2 linked regions of the Xenopus tropicalis genome follow. The protein of the gene in region 1 interacts with the protein of each later gene in a pairwise test. Links are inferred from orthologs where the notes say so. Each region holds a gene or a part of one and is shown on either strand. Other genes may lie near its edges.

Region 1 (8,918 bases):
CCCTGCGGCCGCGGCAAGAATCCATTTTTCAGGGGAAATCACATTTCGGCAGAAGGAGGGGACACGAAGCAGAATTTATTGTAAACTTTCTTTGATGGATAATTCCTGTTTGTGGCTTAGACTTGGGGGGAGCAGAATTCCCTCGTCTTGTGCACCCTAAAACTGCGCCCGGTCGCTAGGCATTATGGGACGGAACAGTGAGAACCAATCACAAGGCTGCACTATAGGCAAGAATGGGGAATTTGAGTGTCACCAAGCAGGGAAGGGGTTAATAAGCAGGTCCTTATGTTCTTATTGATTTGTGTTCCTACATGAATGATTGGCGGTTATATTTATAAAGAGGGGGGGTCTGCGCGGCTGCTCTGGGGTCTTTTTTTAAATAAAATAAAATTTGCCAAATAAATTAGTTTCTGCTCCGGCGCCTCAGGGTCCCAACCCTCCAATCACAGGGGGGCACCGGGGGGGGGGGGGGGGGGGGGTACACAGCGCTCTTTCAATAGGATTCTGGGAGATGTAGTTCTACAATACCCAAGCACACCCGCTGGATTGCCCATTTATTTTTATTGCCCAAATGTTACCTTTGTATATTAGCGACATACCCATCCCAAGCAACTGTTCAGTTGGTCGTGTTTTTTTCCCCATGGTTTTCCCATTATCAGACTGGTTGCCAGGGGGATCACTGACCTAGGCAACCAAAAGTCACCAAAAGACTTTCATTTTAATTATTATTCTTTTTTTTAATTATTATTATTATATTTCCCTTCAGGCTCTTTCCTACTCATCTGCTACTAAAACTGCTGCCTGGTTGCTAGGGCAATTATGCCTTGCTGCTGCCTGGTTGCTAGGGTATTATTATTATTATTATTAACATTTATTTAAAAGCGCCAACATACCCCGCAGCGCTGTACAATAAGTGGGTTACATACATTGGACATACAGAGTAACATATAAAGCAATCAATAACCGATACAGGAGGGGAAGAGAGCCCTGCCCCAAAGAGCTTACACTCTACAAGGAGTAACATATAAAGCAATCAGTAACCGATACAGGAGGGGAAGGGAGCCCTGCCCCAAAGAGCTTACAATCTACAAGGAGAAACATATAAAGCAATCAATAACCGATACAGGAGGGGAAGAGAGCCCTGCCCCAAAGAGCTTACACTCTACAAGGAGTAACATATAAAGCAATCAGTAACCGATACAAGAGGGGAAGGGAGCCCTGCCCAAAAGAGCTTACACTCTACAAGGAGTAACATATAAAGCAATCAATAACCGATACAGGAGGGGAAGGGAGCCCTGCCCAAAAGAGCTTACACTCTACAAGGAGAAACATATAAAGCAATCAATAACCGATACAGGAGGGGAAGGGAGCCCTGCCCAAAAGAGCTTACACTCTACAAGGAGTAACATATAAAGCAATCAATAACCGATACAGGAGGGGAAGGGAGCCCTGCCCAAAAGAGCTTACACTCTACAAGGAGAAACATATAAAGCAATCAATAACCGATACAGGAGGGGAAGGGAGCCCTGCCCAAAAGAGCTTACACTCTACAAGGAGTAACATATAAAGCAATCAGTAACCGATACAAGAGGGGAAGGGAGCCCTGCCCAAAAGAGCTTACACTCTACAAGGAGTAACATATAAAGCAATCAATAACCGATACAGGAGGGGAAGGGAGCCCTGCCCAAAAGAGCTTACACTCTACAAGGAGTAACATATAAAGCAATCAATAACCGATACAGGAGGGGAAGGGAGCCCTGCCCAAAAGAGCTTACACTCTACAAGGAGAAACATATAAAGCAATCAATAACCGATACAGGAGGGGAAGGGAGCCCTGCCCAAAAGAGCTTACACTCTACAAGGAGTAACATATAAAGCAATCAATAACCGATACAGGAGGGGAAGGGAGCCCTGCCCAAAAGAGCTTACACTCTACAAGGAGTAACATATAAAGCAATCAGTAACCGATACAGGAGGGGAAGAGAGCCCTGCCCAAAAGAGCTTACACTCTACAAGGAGTAACATATAAAGCAATCAGTAACCGATACAGGAGGGGAAGAGAGCCCTGCCCAAAAGAGCTTACACTCTACAAGGAGTAACATATAAAGCAATCAGTAACCGATACAGGAGGGGAAGGGAGCCCTGCCCAAAAGAGCTTACACTCTACAAGGAGTAACATATAAAGCAATCAGTAACCGATACAAGAGGGGAAGGGAGCCCTGCCCCAAAGAGCTTACAATCTACAAGGATTAACATATAAAGCAATCAGTAACCGATACAGGAGGGGAAGGGAGCCCTGCCCAAAAGAGCTTACACTCTACAAGGAGTAACATATAAAGCAATCAGTAACCGATACAGGAGGGGAAGGGAGCCCTGCCCAAAAGAGCTTACACTCTACAAGGAGTAACATATAAAGCAATCAATAACCGATACAGGAGGGGAAGGGAGCCCTGCCCAAAAGAGCTTACACTCTACAAGGAGTAACATATAAAGCAATCAATAACCGATACAGGAGGGGAAGAGAGCCCTGCCCAAAAGAGCTTACACTCTACAAGGAGTAACATATACAGCAATCAGTAACCGATACAGGAGGGGAAGGGAGCCCTGCCCAAAAGAGCTTACACTCTACAAGGAGTAACATATACAGCAATCAGTAACCGATACAGGAGGGGAAGGGAGCCCTGCCCAAAAGAGCTTACACTCTACAAGGAGTAACATATAAAGCAATCAGTAACCGATACAGGAGGGGAAGGGAGCCCTGCCCAAAAGAGCTTACACTCTACAAGGAGTAACATATAAAGCAATCAATAACCGATACAGGAGGGGAAGGGAGCCCTGCCCAAAAGAGCTTACACTCTACAAGGAGTAACATATAAAGCAATCAATAACCGATACAGGAGGGGAAGAGAGCCCTGCCCCAAAGAGCTTACACTCTCATGCTGCTGCCTGGTTGCTAGGTAAATTAACCCCTAGCAACCAGTTGTCAACATGTCAACGCTTACAGCCATGTAAAGACAAACATGTTTAATAACACATAGAACGACGACCAACTGCAAATTATCTTCCAATTAATCTTAATTGTCAAGGTTAACTTCCCCTTTAACAAAGGGCCCCGCTTCTTGTTTTTAACAAGTGAATAACGACCCCCCCCCCACCCCCACCCCCACCCCCACCGTGTGTCTCAGCTGAGTCGCCGCTCCTCAGGGCCCCAGTGCAGCCGGCAGACAGGTCGCAGTAATTCTCCCCTGTAATTTGCGTTGCGGTTGCGCAGACTGAGCTGCAGGTGGCGCTAATGAGCCGAAAGGCTTTTAAATTGCCCATGAAACCGTGACAGGAGAATAAAAGGGTCTGTGGGAAATCTGTGCGTTTATTTGGGGGCAGGAGTACAAAGCGGAGGGACAGAGAAAGGCAGCGGCGGCAGCGACAGAGACAATGTAGCTGCGTCTCCGGTTCGGCTGAATAGAAAGGAGGTGTCGGGGGGCCGAATAAATACGATTTCTCCCCTGGGTACCGGCGATCAGTCGCTCCGGGGGTGGATCGAACCGTTCCGGTCGGACAATTTGGGAAGGAAAAACCCCGAATCCTCTCCGCTACATTGTTACAAAGTAAGGAAGCGCCGGGGGGTCGCTGCGTCTGTCGGAGGGGGGTGCGTCTCTGTCGTCCGTGTCGCCGGCTCCATTGGAAGAATAATGAAGAGTTAGGGGGGCTTTGCCTGTTAGAAAGAGACCCCCTTGCCGTCTATTTGTATTATTACCCAATGGAAAGCCTTCTAACAGCAGCCCCCCCCAAACAAGGAGATCCCCCCCCCGGCCCATGATGGTTCCGCTCATCTGACTTTGAATTACTGAAGTCGGGGAGACCCCAAGTGTCCCAAGCGGGGGGGGGGTTGGTGTTCTAGACCGGAGCAAGGAGCTCATTGGGGAGAGTCGGCGACCCGGCTACATTGTGTCATTTGGGTTCCCAGGGACCGGTACAACCCGACCCCGGCAGCTTCTGGAGCAGGAGGGGTCTCTGGGGTCCCCCACCCCCCCCGACCCTGAGATGATGGTGTTAGAGAAGGAGGATGGTAAGTCATTTATATGCAAGTCCCCCAGCCAATGAATATGGATGAACCCGACACTGCTGTAAAGGGAAACTGCCCCCCAAAACTGCCCCCCCCCCCTCCGACTCCAACTCATTCCTCATTGGTGCAGGTTTTCCTGTCACTTGTAAATGTGTTTATTTCTGAGCTGTTTGTATTCCCTGCACTGCCGGTTCTCACTCCTGCACCAAGGGGGGGGGGCAGTTAGAATTGTGTAGTGAGTAGAAACTGAGTTTGAATCGGTTTTTTATGTATTGGCTCCACTGCCTCAGCTGGGAAGCTGTTCCCTGTATCTACCCCCCTCTTCTGTAATCATGTCCTGACCAGTTACAGGTGGTCTTGGCCTGGGAACATTCTAATTGTCTGATTGGCTACAGGTTGGTCTAGTCATGTGAGCTATTCTAGCCGGCCCCATGTGATTTAGTTTGACTGCATGATTGGCTGTGAGCAAATATAAGGGGCTGTTCCTGCTGAATTGTGCTTAGTACAGGGGAATCCCTATGTGCCATAGTTTTATGGTATCTCTCTGTACAGGCTATGGGCAAACTTAGGGGGCTGTTCCTGCTGAATTGTGCTTAGTACAGGGGAATCCCTATGTGCCATAGTTTTATGGTATCTCTCTGTACAGGCTATGAGCAAACTTAGGGGCTGTTCCTGCTGAATTGTGCTTAGTACAGGGGAATCCCTATGTGCCATAGTTTTATGGTATCTCTCTGTACAGGCTATGAGCAAACTTAGGGGGCTGTTCCTGCTGAATTGTGCTTAGTACAGGGGAATCCCTATGTGCCATAGTTTTATGGTATCTCTCTGTACAGGCTATGAGCAAACTTAGGGGCTGTTCCTGCTGAATTGTGCTTAGTACAGGGGAATCCCTATGTGCCATAGTTTTATGGTATCTCTTTGTACAGGCTATGAGCAAACTTAGGGGCTGTTCCTGCTGAATTGTGCTTAGTACAGGGGAATCCCTATGTGCCATAGTTTTATGGTATCTCTTTGTACAGGCTATGAGCAAACTTAGTGGGCTGTTCCTGCTGAATTGTGCTGAGTTGTTGAACTACAACTCAGCACCAGGAGGCTGAACCCCCCCCCCCCTATAATATTACAGTGCCCTTCAGACTGTGCAGCAGACTTCCCCCCCCCCCCCCCCTTCCCGGTGATTTAAAGTGACGGATGACAGTGGGGAATTGGCCGAGTAGTTAAATAACTATCAGCCGGTATTGAGCTCTGCTCCTGTAATTGGTTTTATGTCACCGCACAAGAAAAATTACTTTTTGGTATTAACTAGAAATGTCATCGCTTTCCCTTAAATGGAAGGAGCGTCCAATCCGGACCCCCGAGAGGTTTGGGGCGCCGTGCAGCCCCTGTAATGGCAGGGGAGTCATTGTAAAGGGGAAATACACCTTGAAGGTATAAAAAATCTGAGCGGATTTGCACTTGGATTTATGGTTTCACCAGAGCTTTCTAGTTTAGTATAGAGATGACTGGTTGCTAGGCTTAATGATCCTAGCAACCAGGCATTTATTACAATGTAACATGCGCAGGGTCAGACTGGGATGTATGAGGCCCACCAGGGTTGCTACCCCACGGCCCCTCTGGGACCCCCACATACTTTTGCCACAGTTGGGGGGAAGCGCTGGCTGTGATTGGCTCTGGGTCGACAGGGCTCACTGGGTTTCTTCCTGGTGTTCTGTCACCCCCGACCCTATAAAAACCGCCCCCAAGTTACTTCCCAATTACTGCATGACCGGGGGGGGCACTGTCTGACTGGAACATGAGTGATTGGCTGCCTATGACTAATATTGCAGTAGCCAATAAGCTGTAAGTATATGGTTATGGTTTAAACCTAAGAATATTCTATTTTTTTTTTTTTTTGTAAATTTTACTTCCCCTTTACAGTTGAAATGTGAGGGTACAAAGGGCAAGCTCAGGCGGTTCTGTTGGACCCCCCCGGGCACTGTCGGACCCACTTACATACCTGTGAGGGCAGCGAATCAAGCGGCACTTCCTTCCGTACAATAAAAAGCACTTGAGTCAGAAATAGCAGTGAGTGTAGTTACACAGGCGCTCCGTATCCATGTATCGATCCGCCGGCAACGCTCTCTCTTCATAAAAACCTTTTTATAGGTTTAGGGCCCAGAGTCGCTTTCCTGTGATTTTATTTGCCCAGAGCCTCGGAAATCTGTCAGAAACCTGAACTTCATGTTTAGCTGTGGGGCATTTACCTGTCAGATTCATTAGAAATGCCCCAGGGGGGGTAAGCAGAACCTACCCCCAACTGTCACTGTGTCTGTCCCTTTCCCTTCCCTGCACTGCTGGTTCTGACTCCTGATACAACTCCCCAATATCCATTCATTCCTCATTCTCACTGGGTTTATAGTTATGTGTAACTGTCACTGTGTCTGTCCCTTTCCCTTCCCTGCACTGCTGGTTCTGACTCCTGATACAACTCCCCAATATCCATTCATTCCTCATTCTCACTGGGTTTATAGTTATGTGTAACTGTCACTGTGTCTGTCCCTTTCCCTTCCCTGCACTGCTGGTTCTGACTCCTGATACAACTCCCCAATACCCATTCATTCCTCATTCTCACTGGGTTTATAGTTATGTGTAACTGTCACTGTGTCTGTCCCTTTCCCTTCCCTGCACTGCTGGTTCTGACTCCTGATACATATCAGAACCAGCAGGGCTATTGGACGTCAGTGGGTTTGGGATATTTACCCTTCGCTTTTCAGATCGGTGTGATCATATTTAAAGGGCAAGTAAAGCTTCACCATTCCAGGCTCTTGTTAATTAGAAATGGTTGGGAGTTCCATAAGGGGGGGGTTTGTTTAATAGGGGGGTCGTTCCTGAGTGCAGGTGCAGTTGGGGGGGGAAAATTTCTTGTTCATTAAAGGTCAACGAGACTGGGGGCATTTTCAGTATAATTGCACCTGATTCACAGAATCTTGATGGATCAGGGTCAGACTGGGGTGTAAGGGCCCCTACTGCCCCCCAGTGTCCTGGGCGGAACCCCAATACTTTGTGGTGGGGATTGGTTCTGGGTTCTTTCCCGGTGTCCTGTCGGCCCAGTCTAACCCTGATCACGTGCCAAACACATAGCCCCCTTGGCCACTGCATTTACTCTGGAATTTTTTTTGGGGGGGGGGGGGGGGGGGATGTTGCATTGTGGGTAGAAAGCTTGGCAATTGCACTTTTCATACTGTGCTGGCAGTGAGCAAACTACCCCATTGCCCCCCCCCCGCCCCTCAAAGACATTTTTAATCCCAGTTGTCCAAGCAATTTGCCCCCCTCTGCCTTTGCTGTAGCCGTGGGGACTTCACGCCCCCTATAAACTGTGCCACTGGGGCCCTCAATCCTTGGCACGGCGGGTAGGACGCTGTGCCCCCTCAATCCTTGGCATGGCGGGTAGGACACTGTGCCCCCTCAATCCTTGGCATGGCGGGTAGGACACTGTGCCCCCTCAATCCTTGGCATGGCGGGTAGGACACTGTGCCCCCTCAATCCTTGGCATGGCGGGTAGGACACTGTGCCCCCTCAATCCTTGGCATGGTGGGTAGGACGCTGCGCCCCCCTATCCCTGGCATGGTGGGTAGGACGTTGTGCCCCCCTATCCCTGGCATGGCGGGTAGGACACTGTGCCCCCTCAATCCTTGGCATGGCGGGTAGGACACTGTGCCCCCTCAATCCTTGGCATGGTGGGTAGGACGCTGTGCCCCCCTAATCCTTGGCATGGTGGGTAGGACGCTGTGCCCCCCTATCCTTGGCATGGCGGGTAGGACACTGCGCCCCTCAATCCTTGGCATGGCGGGTAGGACACTGTGCCCCCTCAATCCTTGGCATGGCTGGTAGGACACTGTGCCCCCTCAATCCTTGGCATGGTGGGTAGGACGCTGCGCCCCTCTATCCCTGGCATGGCGGTTAGGACGCTGCACCCCTCTATCCTTGGCATGGCGGGTAGGACACTGTGCCCCCTCAATCCTTGGCATGGTGGGTAGGACGCTGCGCCCCTCTATCCCTGGCATGGTGGGTAGGAAGCTGTGCCCCCCTATCCCTGGCATGGCGGCTAGGACACTGTGCCCCCTCTATCCCTGGCATGGCGGCTAGGACACTGTGCCCCCTCAATCCTTGGCATGGCGGGTAGGACACTGTGCCCCCTCTATCCCTGGCATGGCGGGTAGGACACTGTGCCCCCTCTATCCCTGGCATGGCGGGTAGGACTCTGTGCCCCCTCTATCCCTGGCATGGTGGGTATGACACTGTGCCCCCTCTATCCCTGGCATGGTGGGTAGGAAGCTGTGCCCCCCTATCCCTGGCATGGCGGGTAGGACACTGTGCCCCCTCTATCCCTGGCATGGCGGGTAGGACACTGTGCCCCCTCAATCCTTGGCATGGCGGGTAGGACACTGTGCCCCCTCTATCCCTGGCATGGCGGGTAGGACACTGTGCCCCCTCTATCCCTGGCATGGCGGGTAGGACACTGTGCCCCCTCTATCCCTGGCATGGTGGGTAGGACACTGTGCCCCTCCATCCCTGGCATGGTGGGTAGGACACTGTGCCCCTCTATCCCTGGCATGGTGGGTAGGACACTGTGCCCCCTCTATCCCTGGCATGGCGGGTAGGACACTGTGCCCCCTCTATCCCTGGCATGGCGGGTAGGACACTGTGCCCCCTCTATCCCTGGCATGGCGGGTAGGACACTGTGCCCCCTCTATCCCTGGCATGGCGGGTAGGACACTGTGCTCCCTCTATCCCTGGCATGGCGGGTAGGACACTGTGCCCCCTCTATCCCTGGCATGGTGGGTAGGACACTGTGCCCCCTCTATCCCTGGCATGGTGG
Region 2 (8,818 bases), on another chromosome or scaffold:
TAGGGCATCAAACTGTTCAGTAGACCCCTGGCATTCATATTTAGAATGTTTTATGTTGATACGGTACAAAATGTGTGGGTACATAATGGGGTAAAATGCAAGCTTTGTGACAATTTTCAGAAATGTCATAAAAACCGTTCTGTTTAGCATAGCTTTGTAGTTTGGTAGTTTGCAGTAGAAAGTTGTATTTACCCATTTTTGTTTTGTCAGAATGTGTACTTTTGGAAAATATATGGTTTTCTAGGGTGTCCATACTGTTAGGGGGTCTTTGGCACATAATATACATACCGAGTGCAAAATTTGCACGAGCCGGAGCGTCTTATGTGAAAATTCATATGCACTATTTTTATTTGGGTGCCCCTGTAGTTTGGTAAATCTAAGCATATAGGGCATCAAACTGTTCAGTAAACCCCTGGTGTTCACATTTAGAATGTTTTATGTTGATACGGTACAAAATGTGGGGGTACATAATGGGGTAAAATGCAAGCTTTGTGACGATTTTCAGAAATGTAAAAAAAAACGTTCTGTTTCGCATAGCTTTGTAGTTTGCTGTAGAAAGATGTATTTACCCATTTTTGTTTTGTCAGAATGTGTACTTTTGGAAAATGTATAGTTTTCTAGGGTCTCCTTACTGTTAGGGGGTCTTATGGCACATAATGCACATGCCGGTAGCTTATATTGCAGTGTATACACTTTGTATGCACTAACTTCCTTTTGGGGTCTCTAAATGCCATATACATCGGTGATCCTATGCACAATGGGCATCAAACTGTTCAGTGGACCCTTGGCTTTCATATTTCCTTTTGGGGTCTCTAAATGCCATATACATCGGTGATCCTATGCACAATGGGCATCAAACTGTTCAGTGGACCCTTGGCTTTCATATTTAGGGTATGTTTTCTTGGTACCTAATGTTATGTGGGAGATAAGGTGCTTGAAAGTGGAAGATTTGATGTGATTTTCAGGTATTTCACCAAAACTGGCAATTTTGGGAAAGAACTGCGACTCTGTAGTTTGGAGTAGAAAGATATGGGTACCAATTTTGAATTCATCCGAATGTGTACTTTCCAAAAATATATGGTTTTGGGGGGTCAATGTATTTTTTTGTGTTTTTACCCCACAGAAAATGCAGTAAACGTGTTGAATTTCCAGTAGCTAAAGAGACCTCTGGGGCAATTTCTATGCACTAACTTCCTTATGGGGGTCTCTAAATGCCAGATACATTAGTGATCCTATGCACAATGGGCATCAAACTATTCAGCTGACCCTTGGCTTTCATATTTAGGGTGTGTTTTCTTGGTACCTAATGTTATGTGGGAGATAAGGTGCTTGAAAGTGGAAGATTTGATGTGATTTTCAGGTATTTCATCAAAACTGGCAATTTTGGGAAAGCATTGCGACTCTGTAGTTTGGAGTAGAAAGACATGGGTACCAATTTTGAATTCGCCCGAATGTGTAAAGTGGAAGATTAGAGGCGATTTTTTAGAATTTTCATAATTTTTTATAAAAAATGCTAAATTCAGTAAAGCATTGCGGTTTGGTACTTAGGAGTTGGAAGACAGTTACCCATTTCGGATTCGTCAGAATGTGTACTTTTCAAAAATGTATGGTTTCCTGGGGTAAACCTAATGTTTCAGGATTTTTGGCTTTGGAATCTAAAGTATGCCGTATTCTGCTGTAATGCTTTGAAAATGTATACATTTATACATATCAGGTATTGGCACGTTTGGGAGACATGAGGCTTTCCAAATCAGTTGAATTTTTGTCCATAAAATAAAATATGTTTCTGGTATAAATCCCTATATCATGAAAAATAGCATTTTTTTCTTTTTTTTTGTATTTCAAGCTCTAAATCTTGTTCCAGAAGTGGAAATACACAAAAACACAAAAAGCATATTTGGAAAGCTCAGGTTCTCCTGAAAAAACAATATATAGTTTGCCTACCTAAACTTAACCCTGCCCCCAGTAAAAGCCCCTAAATTGAGAGAGCACAGAATGTTTACAAAATGTCTGGCACTGAGGGGAACCGAAATGTCAAATTCTGCTGGCACTTAAAGGGTTAAATAATTTATGTAGCCCAAGTAAAGTTTATTTTCCTCAACTAACATGATAAAATAGGATTTGTAATTATTTCTTAAGGTCCCCTTTAAAGAATATTACGTTGTGATATGCAATATTTGTTCTAAATTGTGCCTTTTTTTTTTTTTTAAAACAAACATTTCTCCAATAAACTTTTCATGCAAATCAAACTCCTTTTATATGGATTATATCAGATCTCTGAAAGCATGTCTTTTGTCAACACAAGACCACATTCTCTATTGTCTGACAGTGTCAAGCACAGCACAACTCTTACTGATGTGGGGGTCAATTAGGTGAATTATTAATTCATACAAAATGATAGATGCTTATTATATTGGTAAATGTTAAACCAAAGATGATATTTCTCAAATTACCTCAAATTGAATGAGCACAACTCCAGTTTCCAAGCCTTTTGAAAGCTGCTCCATTGATCCCTGTAATGTGTCACCATATTCCGAGCAAGTAGGAAGAATTGACGGTGGAAAAAAGGTGAAGTCAGCATCATCTTCTGACTTTGTTTTACCAAGGTGTCTAACAACTATAAGGCAACAGAATAAACACAGATGCTATCACTAACAGACAAACAGGGCTTACTATCATGATCAGTTCAGGACAGCTTGAAATTTTGTGTGAACCCTGTTTTATTTGCATCTAAAGGCTTTAAAATAACTGAAAGCTACCCAAATTGCATCTGAGCCTTTGATGTGAATTTTTCCTTCCAAGCTTTAGACATTCAAAACAAGATAAACAAAGACAACATTAAAGGGGAACTCCGGCTTCTCTTCCAATATTTGTTAGAGAGCTCTACACAACACAGAAACCCCTAATATACCTATCACTGTAATCTGTTCCTTCAAAGAGCATGAATAAATACCATTTTATGCTGAAATCCAGCTGCAAAACAGTTTTTCTCTTCCTGCATAATTTGAAATCCAGGCAGGGGAGGAGGGAATAAAAAATTGTTTTAAATTATAACAACTTCTCCACAGCTTAAAGACAGCATACAGGAACTACATAACCTGCAATGCATTGCACTGAGATCTTAATTCCCTTATTGACATAATGTGTGCAGAACTTTGTGGTATTTGGAGGAAGTAGGCTGGGGACATTCAAATACTGTCTCATAGTAGTTAGCCAGATCATCAGAATATAAGCTTTGGTAACTGTTCAATACCATATTATTTTATTATCACATCATCAGGGGGCTAGACTTAGGTAACTGTTCCAAACCATATTCTTATATTAAAAATCAGGAAAAGGCTCCTCATCCTGGAACACTAATTGTTCCCAAATCCAGGATAGGACCCAGAACCGACAGCTCCCCTTCTATAAATACCTCTACCTTAACATCTACTATCTATCAGAACTTTATGTTGATGGGCCCAAAACTATTTACAGGGTAGATCAGCAGAGGAATGGTGTTCCTCTTATATCTCTGAACTTACCTCTGATAATTGGGAAGAGGTGACTGAGAAAATTTACAATATCCTTATTTAGGTAAAAGATTATTCTATACAAAACCTTCTACCACTTGTATTTGACACCTGTGAAATTATGCCAGATGGCTTGTGTACCTACTGACTCCTGCTTTGGCTTACTTCTCACTCAATCTGGTCCTACCCCCAATCTCACCGCTTTTGGACAGCTTTAATAGACTTTTTAGCGGATAACTTGGCCTCTCCCAAAGTGGTTGCCCGAGCAATCTGCCTTTTGAGCATACTGGATGACATCATCTCCACCTGTCTGTCTGCCTGTCTGTCTGCTGTGACTGCTTACCTTTGTGTAAGCTTTAGATGGTATCAGATTCAGGCTGTAAACCCCTGCATTGTTCACACCTGTAATCCCCTGTATTGTACACACCTTTAAGCCCCTGTACTGTTCACACCATGCCTTTTTGTGTGCCATTCTCTGCCTGCCATATGCTGCCTGTCTGCCATACCCTGTTTGCCATATGCTGTCTGTTTGTGCCATATTCTGCCTGCCCTATGCCTTAGCATTTGAAAATAGTAATTATATGGTCCTGATGTGCAATTATGTGCTGAAGGTTGCTGTGCTATTCACAGGGGAGGCATATAGATTTAAGGGTATGTTGTAATATGACATAATAAAGTTCTTTCACATATCAATGAAGGGTAATATCCCTGCAGTGAGTACCAACCATTTGGGTTTTTGCTGTGCTACCACCATTAATGTGGATATAGTCTTACAAGCTCTTGTGATAACATGGGTGTGGTTTAAAAAAGGGGAGTGGTCAAAACTGGCTTCCATTATCTGCCCTCCACTATGTAGGCCAGAAAAATTCCGGTCCTCTGTACCATAGAAATTAGACAGCACTGATCTAGACAAACCAGTCAACAACACAGAAGAGTAACTTCTCTTAAGTAAACATTTATCTTCTTACTATAAAGCACAGCTAATAATACTGGAGAACAGTCTGTTGCCATTTCATTCTAAAGAAAGGTGGCTAGTATAAAAACTGTGAAGGATGTAAGACAGCACCATGCAAACTGACCAGCTGTATATGTGACCCAGAAACTTTAATTAATTTCTCTTTGTTTGAAGAGTTTTTTTTTTCTTTTGATGTTTCTTACTGCTATATGAGACATTATGTTGCTCAGGAAAGCACCAGTGAAATGACAGGGCCACATATTCTAATCTTGCCAGGGGCTCTACTTGATCTTAATCAGCTTCTCCTTTTATAGTACACCTGTACAGGTGCAATCACATCATTCAAGAAAAAATAGAGTGGCAGCAATCTGTTGCCTAATATTAATATATTAATATTAAGGAATTAGAGCAAAGGTATTTGTTTTCATTCTCTTATATGCCCCATTATCTTCTGCCAAGCAAATATTAATATGGGCTCAATTATTCATGAAAACATATCAAAGACATAAATGGGCCGATTCACTAAAGGTCGGTAACGCTTATCGCATGCTTTTTTGTGTTAAAAAGTAAGTACCGATGCATCAAAGTCATTTTGCATGCGTTAATCCGCATATCGCATGCGCAAAAAAAAAAAAAAGAATCATCGCAAAGTGTTATTTCTAGTGCATTGTGTTAATTAGCGAACAGAAATAGTAATAACGCATAATTCACAATCACATATGAAGCGTTAAACGCACAAAATACAGCGTTAATCTGTGCGAATATTAACACCTACTTGGGGTAGGCGGTAAAATTGCAGTTCGTGAGCTTTTGGCAACACAACGTGGAGTTTGCAGTCGTATTTTTTGTATGTGTTGGCCCTAGAGTGATGCATCCTCCAGTTCTAAGGGAAATGGTGATTTTCAGAACGGTAATTTTCAGAAAGTAATGGTTACGTGCTTAATATGTCGCGCTCTGCATAATATATCGCTTGAAAATACCTCAAAAATATCGCAAAGAGCATCACTTCTTAATTATGACTAGTGTCCTTTTAGTCAATCGAGCATTAAGTCGCAAAAAATAAGAAGTGATAAAATTTTTAACACATGCTATAAATAGCATTTGTTTAATCGACCTTTAGTGAATCGGCCCCAAAGGGTGTTGTGATACCACAAAAGCATTTAGAAAGTAATTTGCTACTGGAAAAACATTGGTGTTTTATAGTTTGCATTACTGCACAGTATATATGTAATAACACTTCATATTTTAAAATGCTATTTTTACACAAAAATCCACAATGAATGCACTTTAACTAAGAACAAGTATTTCCATGGGATACAACTGCATGTGCCTTATGAAAAGCAGAGCAATAATCTAGTTGTTAACCTAGTGGAGCTGTATACGAGTTCAAAGCTCACCTATAATAGATTATGGAATGATATATATTCAGTCTGATAATAGTTTCAGTTATGTTGATTGATATGAAGGCAAATAGCTCTCTTTTAAAAAGTAGCCCATGTAAAGTTATCTATGAGCTGTTTGCAACTATTTAGATTTTATCTCTTTACATCTCCTCTCTTTGCTTACCTTTTCTTCGAACCAGAAGCACAAGTTCCCGAGTGTGAGATTCTCGACTAGCCTTTATGAACATTACCACTTGGTCATGAGTGTGCTCTGAAATATCCCGACCATTAATGAGGACTATTTGATCACCTTCTTTAAGTTTTGGTATGCACTTATCAGCCTAATGAGGTGTTGGAAAGGAAAAGGAAATAATAAATGTTAACATGAGGCATGTTGGTGGTACAACAACATGATCATATAAAATAAATCAGATGTACATAGAATTTTTTAAAAGTTGCTAACCCTTTAAAGGCAGTTACACACAAACAGATGTCAGATATTCTGGTGCTATGACTTCTAGCAGCTAAACAAGTGTAAATAAAACTCCCTTAATTATCATCCCATTCACCTCTTAGTAAGTGCTTTAAAAGAGAACTAAAGCCTAACTAATGAAGTAGGGTAGAAATGCTGTACATTATATTTCCGGCTTCTGTACCAACTCAAAGCAACCACAGCCTTTTAGCAGGGAAGATGCCCCCAGCAGCTCCCACCTTCTTTTCTGCTGATTCACTGCACATGCTCTGTCCGGCTGTCAGTTATTGAGCTCAGGGACAGATGCACAATATACTGTATATACAGAATATAAATGTCACAATATAAGGTTGATTAGTAATTAATACAGATAATTACTACATGGTAACTCAGAAACCAGTGCAATTAGCTTTAGAATTTACTAATCAGCCCTGTAACATCAGCTACTTTATTTTAATACTTTATTTTTTATATATATATTATATATATATATTATATTATATATATATTATATACATATATAGCGAACCCAGGGTGGCACTCTGCTTCAGCTCTTAGCTCGGGTGCAAGGTAAATGATTTAAATATCCAAAAAAGACCAGCAACACCGAGTTATATTCCAAAAACAATCAATTGTGTATTAAAAACGCATGAACAGCCAACGTTACGTTTCGGTCCCCATCGGGACCTTTCTCAAGGCAACCCTTGACTGTAATCTCCTCTCTATGTCACTTTGTATCTTACACTCCTTACAATCCAGAGAATTTACTCGTAACTAGTTATCTGATACATTGTTTCTTTGTACTTGACACTTTCTCCTTATCCCCTGGTATCGTTCTCTATAATTGTTGATTTGGTTTGAACACAATACACACTTATGCACAGTGTAGTAAAAATACACATTCTATGTTAATTAACATTTCACGGCTGATGTGTATTTGACAGCGTGAAACTGTGACGTCACACCCCTGTGTTGTCTGTATTTTCCCGCCAGTCAGTGTATTTAATGTTAGCTTTCACAGTGTGTTTTAACTTTGAGAAAGGCTGAGGTGTTCAGCCGAAACGTCTCACTTTACAGTCAATCAGACGTTGCAGTTACTGAACGTGTTATCGACAATAATAACAATATATTTCTGTTTAACAAAATTATGATGTTCCCGTAATACAAAGAAATTACTTAAAATAGATCTTACTTACTGGTGATCCTGGTATTATTCTGGATACCACCAGCTGCATTTTCTGATCAACTCCACCCTGTTGATATAGTCACATAGTAAAATAAGTTCCATTAGGTCCAGATGATAGCAAAAATCCCAAATTGATGCTATGTTCAACTTGCCTCAACTGGGAGGGGGGTTATTTCAGACTCCAGAAATGTAATTAGGCCAGTGTCTGAATCATCTTTGTCCTGCAAATTAATATTAGTAAATCTGGATTTGCTAATTGCTAAAAAGGTATCTAACCCACTTTTTAAGCTATTCATAACATAATGCTCTCTATAAAAAAAACTTATCAACTGGTCAATAAGGTCATCATATTCGGCCTTAAAGGGGTTGTTCAGTGTCACTGACCCCTCCCCAGCACAGGGTTTGTGCAGAAGTGAAGGCTGAGCAGAGGAATAATTCTAAGGTAAATATCTCTTCAGCTGCACATTTTTTGTTAGCTATCTATATGGAAATGATAGCTGTATTATTGTGAATTGTTAGATTTGCAAGTGCTGTATAAAGGTTAACAACCCCTTTAAGAGTCGCTTTTCCAATACAAACTATCACAACTTGGCCAGTCATTTTTTGTAACCAAGATCTTCTATACTCTTAATCAGTTCTTTATACACTTGCCCTCTCTTCTTGTGAATCCTCACTGCTTTTTCATACAGCACAAAAACCTACTGGCCCTTTCTGCATCTGTTTGGCATTGCTTGCTACTGTCAAAGTTTACAATTAACATTTAAAAATTACTTCTTTTTTTTTAATTAGCCCACTAGCAAACATTTTAATTGTTAAACAAAAGACCATACCTATATACTGTATTGTATAGGATTTGTTAATCTTATCTCTATATCATCTCTATTGAATGTTTTAATTTTATAATTATTTATAATTGTTATTACCTTTAGGTTAAATCCAAATTTTCCTTCTTCATCTGGTATAATATGAACCAACAACAAATCTCCATTTACAGTGTCACTCTACAATATACAAAATAATTTAACTGCAGATAAACCTAGCAGATATACTTCTTTCCACATACTGCTCTGTGATGTATTCTAGACTTATAAAATTCAGTATTACAAAAACCACCATCAAGCTGTCAAAATACAGGATACTTTTCACTTCTTGTCGTATTAGTCACGATAATATCGTATTGGTGATCCGAAAGTCAAAAATTTTGACTTAGTGTGGTCTAGACAGCTGTGGAAAAGCTAAGCTTAGGGCAAGGTCACACAAAGCGTAGATCCACTTTTCTCAGCCCCGCATCATTTCCGTCGGGCTGAGAGA

What was found.
Region 2: the proteins of lmo1 (region 1) and ptpn3 interact in binary tests that used the Homo sapiens proteins (3 or more experiments, as listed by UniProt). The two-hybrid records come from large-scale screens. The link is inferred for Xenopus tropicalis from reciprocal best matches to the Homo sapiens genes LMO1 and PTPN3.

The regions. Positions count from the first base shown.
Region 1 is NC_030680.2:3,671,445-3,680,362, reverse strand, and holds the start of lmo1 (uncharacterized protein LOC100144284), read left to right. Parts: upstream 1-3,388; 5' UTR 3,389-4,041; coding exon 4,042-4,066; intron 4,067-8,918. UniProt on the Homo sapiens protein: May be involved in gene regulation within neural lineage cells potentially by direct DNA binding or by binding to other transcription factors.
Region 2 is NC_030682.2:75,267,077-75,275,894, reverse strand, and holds part of ptpn3 (tyrosine-protein phosphatase non-receptor type 3), read right to left. Parts: intron 8,509-8,818; coding exon 8,431-8,508; intron 7,575-8,430; coding exon 7,518-7,574; intron 6,191-7,517; coding exon 6,034-6,190; intron 2,618-6,033; coding exon 2,454-2,617; intron 1-2,453.